2 linked regions of the Arabidopsis thaliana genome follow. The protein of the gene in region 1 interacts with the protein of each later gene in a pairwise test. Each region holds a gene or a part of one and is shown on either strand. Other genes may lie near its edges.

What was found. Proteins that work in one complex are often made in the same cells at the same time.
Region 2: the proteins of TPR3 (region 1) and BZIP9 interact in a two-hybrid assay, tested with the Arabidopsis thaliana proteins (one study listed by BioGRID).

The regions. Positions count from the first base shown.
Region 1 is NC_003076.8:9,513,449-9,517,048, forward strand, and holds the start of TPR3 (TOPLESS-related 3), read right to left. Parts: upstream 1,960-3,600; 5' UTR 1,816-1,959; coding exon 1,736-1,815; intron 1,650-1,735; coding exon 1,470-1,649; intron 1,389-1,469; coding exon 1,275-1,388; intron 1,054-1,274; coding exon 895-1,053; intron 793-894; coding exon 618-792; intron 531-617; coding exon 401-530; intron 304-400; coding exon 191-303; intron 105-190; coding exon 1-104. UniProt on the Arabidopsis thaliana protein: Transcriptional corepressor. Negative regulator of jasmonate responses.
Region 2 is NC_003076.8:8,513,143-8,516,978, forward strand, and holds BZIP9 (basic leucine zipper 9), read left to right. Parts: upstream 1-2,057; 5' UTR 2,058-2,116; coding exon 2,117-2,230; intron 2,231-2,335; coding exon 2,336-2,426; intron 2,427-2,523; coding exon 2,524-2,695; intron 2,696-2,787; coding exon 2,788-2,863; intron 2,864-2,941; coding exon 2,942-3,067; intron 3,068-3,144; coding exon 3,145-3,399; 3' UTR 3,400-3,527; downstream 3,528-3,836. Other genes in the region: AT5G24810 (ABC1 family protein), read right to left, coding at 3,760-3,836. UniProt on the Arabidopsis thaliana protein: Transcription factor.

The DNA of each region.
Region 1 (3,600 bases):
TCCATGCTTGTCACAGTGGACCCTTGATGCAGCGCCAGAGCTGCCTTTGTTGGCAAATCTTCCAGCGACCATGGAGCTTGCTGCCTAGGAGCAGGATATGTCACCTGGAAAATGATAAATGCTTAGAATTTTGAGAAGATGCAAGAATTATATAAACAGCTTTCCAGAAAAAGAAAAGAATTCGCGTTACCTCCTCCACAGATGGAGCAGGGCGGAGACGCTTCATTAGTTCATGATCAGGATTCTGATAATCTACTATACCTGGAGTTGCTGGTGGTGTTCTTGGTCGCTTCAAGATTGACACTTTTTGGAAGAAAAATAATAAGTTTTTGATGGAAACTGAAATGATAGTTATTGATAAGTCGAGGATTAGAAATCTAGAGGATCGTCAAAAACTAACTTTGATTCTGAGGTTGAGGCATCAAGGCAGGTGTAACAACGGCAGCTTGGACAGCAGAAGCACCAGAGGCAGCAGCCATCCAACTAGCTAAAGCACCAGCATTAGCAGCAGCAGGACCAGGTGGAAAGGGCTACATGTAATACAGATTCCACAAACATTAAGATTAATTTAGATTCAAAAAACATGATTAAAGCAGTCAAACATCGAGGTTTCTTACAACATGAGGTCCAAGTGACGGATAAGCTGCTGGCTTCGTCAAAGTAGTAACAGGCTGATTGACTGCTGAAGGTGCGAGAGGACCATTCGGAAGTGTGCAAGTGTGGTCTGTGAATAGAGTTTTAATATCTGGGTTTGGCCTAGGATTCTTGCACAACTGGTGCTGCCAATTGAGGCTGCAAGAGAACATATGCACAATGAATCATCCAACAACGAAGTCATCCAAACCTCATCTGCAACATACAGAATGGTCATGAGGAAAGAAAAAAGAAACACACCTTTGATTAATCAGAGTCCGCAGTCTCGAAGATCTCAAAGTAGGGAACATCAATTTATCACGAAAAAGTGGATTCGCTTCAATTAGTTTTTTAAGTTCGCCTAGCATTATGCCCCGAGCAGTTTTAGTGTCTCCATATTTTGAAAGCTGCTCATTTTCCCTGCAGATTCATGAAAATCATTGATGTCAAATTTCAATCCACAAAACGCAAACAATCGAGAGAGAAACTCGAGTATCACACCCTCTTTCACATCCAAACAAAAACAGTCTACAAAGCATCACGAACTCGACTTGGACTGAACCTAAACCAAGTCTCATATTCCTACTTTCCATAACAACAGAAACATCAACAAGGAGAGATCAAAATTCAATATATCATACCTAAAGTTTTGCAAAGTTAAGAGTTGAGTGATTTCTTTGTAAAGCTCCTCATTGAAAGTGGAGAAAACTCTCAAATCTTGCACTAGTATCTCAACTGCTTTTGCCTTCTCTTGCCTGTAACAACAGAGAACATCAAACTCTAAAACCACAAATCTTCAAGAGTAAAAAAACAAATAAGACAGCTTATAATCATACCGATCAAGAGCCTCGAGATACTTCTGCTTCCTAATTTCAAAGAAAATCTTCATAGAGTATCTGTTATCATCAACCTTAGTAAAACCTGACAAATACGTCTCAACATCATCCCATTCTCCAGCTAGAACTTTCTCATCAAAATACTTGGTATTGAAGAAGAATCCTGACTCTTTCTCAAGCCTATATTTAACAAATTACAAATCAGTCAATCCCAAAATTCAGCCTCTCACAACACAACACAAAACAAACCATATAAATAGACTAACCTGTGCACAGATTCCTTAAATTTCTCTTCCTCCAGAAATTGAAGTATCAGAAACACCAACTCTCGACTCAACGACGACATTCTCAACGAATCTCAAATCTGACGAGAAACGAAGAAGAGAGACGACGAAAGAAACACGAATCCGAGCTCTGAAGACACGAGCCCAGGTAAAGACTCTGATTTCGAGGATTTCTAGGGTTTTGAAGAGCTCTAGCTTTTAGAGAAAAATGGAGAGAGAGAGAGAGAATATATAAAGAAGGAGGAGAAGATTGGGGGATTGAGAAACTTTAGACCTCGCTTTCTTGGACGCGTTCTTCTTTGCACAGAGACATCGTTCTACCGACTTATCAGATATAAGCGGAGTCTTCGTCGGTGATAAGTAGGCTTCCTTATAAGAGAGGTAGGTTAAGTTATTATCAAATTGAGTGATAAGTTGATTTGGAGATAGAGTGGCGGATTCGAAAACAAAATTCAAATAGTGTGAATATTCTGTGCACACGTCCAGTCTGGTCCCCACATTTTTCTCTCTCCTTTATTATGTCGCTCTCAGCTTTCGATGCACTCTTCGTTTGGCTTTTCTCATATTATCCTTTTTTTCTTTTTCTCGCGATATTTTTGAGATCTCTTTTTCGCAAGATTTAATTAAGTGTTCGTGACAATTACAATGTGGACAATTCAACATCTCGCAGGTTACGTCATATATAATTATATATACTCATATTATAATCTTTGCTTTTTTTTTTAGGCATACACCAGGAGAATTACTCGTGTTCTCCATGGCGAAATGAGATTATTTATAAAAGAAAAACATAATATGGATTTAGAAAATAGATATTTGAAAAGAAAAATAATAAAAAAAGGAAAATAATATTTTTAATATTTCTTTTTATTTGATTTTTTAGGAAAAACATAAATATTAAAAAAAGACATATTAAATCTTGTTTTTTAAATGTACTATTTTTTATAATTTAAAATTTTTAATAACTTTAAACCAATAATATTCAATAATTTTTATTGAAGTTTACAATTTATCAATTATAACTAATAAGTATTGTATTGAAAACCTATAAAATTAATCTTTTTGAAACATTTTTTTTCTAGAAAATCAAATAAAAGAAACATATGGAGTATGAAAATAACTTATTAAGTATATATAAAATAAAATTTTATAGAGGCCGAATACATTAACTTTATTAGAATTAAGATTTACAAGTATTTAAGAGATAGAAAAAAATGATTAGGATATAACAATATGGTTTACATGTATATTCTTTATACGTCCTTTTAGTATGGAAGTACTCGTGTAGCTCTAATTTTGGAACTTTTTTTTTGAAATATTGATTTCGCTAAAGATTTAGTGAATGTATTTGCTAACTGATCACCAATGGAGACATGAGTAATCTGAAGCATTCCAGCTTGAATTAAGTGCTATATATATGGTTCATTCGAGAATAGAAAACCGGATTGGTACCGAGGTAAGTGGCACCAACATTTTCACAATATATCATATATATTCTTTATACCATTTAGAATTGTAAGCTTTGGTACCATATAGAGGCTAAATGTATTGACTTTATTTTAGAATGAGATTTACAGGTATTTATAGAGAGATAGAAAAGTGATTAGGGTATACTAATGAGAACAATACAATTTACAAATATATCTTATAAATTTAAGGATAAATGTCAATTTTCATTTTTTAAAAACACGATAGATACAAATCGAGGTTAATTCTTCAAAACCTAACTTAAGTAAAATAAGAAATTTGATACTATGTTTCCTAACTTAAGTAAAATTTACTTATTAACATAAATGTAGAAAATATTTTTAAATTTGTTTTTTTCTTGATAATTTAAGGATAAACTA
Region 2 (3,836 bases), 1.0 Mb from region 1:
CGGATTGTTAATAAATGCACTTGGAGATTTTCTCTTGTTATGACTTATGGCCTTGCTTTTATGAACTTTTATTATTTGTGATCTTTAACCTCTAGCTTCAATCTCGTTCACGTCATACATGATCTTTTACTGGAATAATATTTTAAATCTGTAACCAGAAAGATTCTAAATATAATTACTACACTAAATATTATAGTATCAAAAATAATTTTTAAAAAAAAAAAACAAATAAAGATTCAATTGGTCCCTCAAAACTGAAACTAAAGATTCTAGTGTTTTTTATTTGGTCACATAAACTTTGATAAAATTCATTTGGTCACGAGAATTCTTGTTTTTGTCATGAATTTTAAATGAGAATTTTTGTTTGTTCTATAATACTTTTATCTACCCATGACCAAAAAATATACTAACACAGTTATATGATTTGAAAAGTAATTTCTGAAAACTAAATCACCCCAACTACTCTAGTGATCACTAGACATAGAACAACGTCTTTTTTTTGTTTCTCTTTTCCTTTGTTTATAATTCCTTTCATCTTCTTTTCTTTTTCTTTGCAAAACCTCGTTTGGAGATTACAAGTAGAGTTTGTAGAAACAGAAAAATTACTTCTTCTTTTTTTGCTAAAAGAAAACAAAAATTACTTTTGTGTTCATAAACTAATTTTCATTCATATTTTCTGTATTTTAACTTACAAATTTAGCATGTGCCTCAAGTAGAAATTCGTTTCTTACAAAAAACGTATATCAATCATCATCTAAATTACATGAAAATTTTCAACATCACTAAGGATTGAATTTTAATTGTACTAGTTACTATGGTTACTGAATTGTACTGTAGTCGGTAGATTGTAAACATTGTAGTCCACTATAGGTTCGAAAGTTCTAGTTAGTGAGAAATAATAATTTTAAAATGCTTTTGGATTCTATTTTCGGATCTAAACAACTTTTGTTTGTTTAAAGACACATTACCTAGTTTGTTTCTTTTTATTGTTTTGTTGTGAAATATTTTAACTTTTTAAAGGAAGTGCAGATCAAAAGAAAGAAAAGTTGGTTTACGCATACAAAAGTTGATGAAATAAAAAGTATTTCTGGTGCTGGAGGAAAGAAATGTCTTTTAGATCTGCTTTCCAAAAGCATATGGCGAAAAGTAAGAGTAAACAAAGGACGAAGCATTTTGTGTTGTTCGTGTGACCGGAAAATTCTTAAGTTTTTCTTTTTGGTGTTGTAGTAGTAATGAATGATAATAAATATTTTAAAGATTTTTACTACATGATACAAAGGTGTAAAAAACTGAAACAATATTATCAATATTTTTCCTTCAAATATTATCAATTATTTATGAAGATTAGTTTTTAGTGTTTTATGAAATTATATATTCGGTAAAACATTTACCGTAAAAGGTTAATTTATTCATTTTCAATGTTTTTGTAGTTTCATCATTGGACTATGCCCCTTGTATATTAATCTTAAATTAGTCGTTAAGTACTTCAAATTCGAATTCAAACAGGTTATGTAGTAGAGTAATTTATGTAAGTGTAAGGTTCTTGACATGTGCCAAGAATACAAATGTACATGAGTGACAATATTATTATCTAAATATTTTCAAATATTTAAAAGCTTATTTCGAAATATTTTAGGATCCTTTTATGAATATAAGCTGCTTATATATATGCCTATAACATTCATTTTCAAATCAAAAGCTCCAACATATTAATGAGCTGACAAACAACTTAATGTTTGAATTCAGATATGATTTATATTGAAAGAGTCTCCAGCTATCTTAGATAGTCTCCCTAGTTAAGGGATTAAAGGTTATCATTAGCATATAATTGGTACCATAATATTCACCAATACTACAGAGCCTAATATACATCTCTGTGGCTTTGCTTTTCTATTCTCTTTTGTTATTGTTGTCATTAAAGAAAAAAAAAGTTGGAAATGAGGACGTTGCATTGACAATGCAAATTCAATTTTGCTTAGCCATTAAGAAGCTTTTTCACAACTTTAGTAAAGAAGAGAGACTTATATAAAGAAGATGTCTATCACCACTTACTCTTCCCCTCTCCTCTCTTTTCCAACCAATTCTCTTCTTTCTTGTGTGTTCACATTCAAAGAAAATGGATAATCACACAGCTAAAGACATTGGTATGAAGAGAAGTGCTTCTGAGCTGGCTCTACAAGAGTATCTCACTACAAGCCCTCTAGACCCTTGTTTCGACCTCATGAACCGGGTTAGTCCTTTTGTTGTCTCTCTTATTCGTATCATTGTTGCTTGTGTCTATATCAAGATCCAGAGATATTGTAGTAATTAAGAGTCTAGTTTCTTTTGGTTGTAGGATTACACTTGTGAGTTAAGAGATAGTCTTTTGTGGTCTGAGGGATTGTTTCCGGCTGGACCTTTTCGCGATGCACAGTCCTCAATCTGCGGTATGTGCATGTCTCTTTGATTTGACTCCATGTAAGTAATAAGTGTTGTTGCAGTTGATATTAATGTTCACTACTTGTGTGGCTCTTATCTACAAAGAGAATCTGTCAGCTGATAGTCCAGTGTCAGCCAATAAACCTGAGGTAAGAGGAGGAGTTAGGAGAACCACAAGTGGATCTTCTCATGTTAACTCTGATGACGAAGATGCCGAGACAGAAGCAGGGCAATCTGAAATGACTAATGATCCCAATGATCTGAAACGTATTAGAAGGTATGTTAGGTACCAATAAAAAAGTTAGATGTAAAACACTGAGATAGAGAATCACCAATTCTTCTTAATCTTTTTCTGTGATGTGAATTCAGGATGAACTCAAACAGGGAATCAGCAAAGAGGTCGAGGAGAAGGAAGCAAGAGTACTTGGTAGATCTTGAGACTCAGGTAAGGTTAACAAATAGCTTGTTGGATGATTTGTATCAGAGAGTAATGTTTTAATGGTGACCTTGTGTTTTCTTCAAGGTTGATTCTTTGAAAGGCGATAACTCAACACTGTACAAGCAGCTCATAGACGCAACACAACAGTTTCGTAGCGCTGGAACAAATAACAGAGTTCTCAAATCAGATGTTGAAACTCTGAGAGTCAAGGTATCATCTATCACTTGCTCTTTTCAATTTGGGAAAGTAATAACCGGAATGTGCTAAGTTAAGTAAATTCTATATAGGTGAAACTAGCAGAAGATTTGGTAGCGAGAGGGTCACTCACTAGCAGCTTGAATCAACTTCTACAAACTCATCTAAGTCCACCATCACACTCCATCAGCAGTCTGCACTACACGGGAAATACCTCGCCCGCCATTACAGTCCACAGTGACCAATCTTTGTTCCCTGGAATGACACTTTCTGGACAGAACTCAAGCCCTGGACTTGGTAATGTATCCAGTGAAGCTGTTAGCTGCGTCTCAGACATCTGGCCATGACTCTCTTTCTTCAGAACATGTAATGATCACTCAGCGAATTTCCTGTATGTGTTTCGCTATAGAACTAGAAACATATAATGAAAGCAGCATGTTCGTTAAATAAACTCAAGTTTCGTCAACATATACTTAATTGCTCCAAATCCTGCAGATTGTAATCTGGAAACTGAAGCATGTATAGGCCAATAAATTACATTCTCCAAGGAAATTGCTTAAATGTGTTCGCTTAAGTAAGTATACAGACAAACAAACAAAAACACTGATCCATTACACTTTACTTTCCAGCAATTTCTATTAGCTATTTAAGGCGACAGCTATGCATGTTGTAACATGAGCAGACAAAACTTACGTCGAAAACCAACCTCAGTTGATTAGAGGCGTACCCATCTGCGAATCTGCACCTATATCAGTTGCGAAGTCCTTAGGCAATGGGATATTTA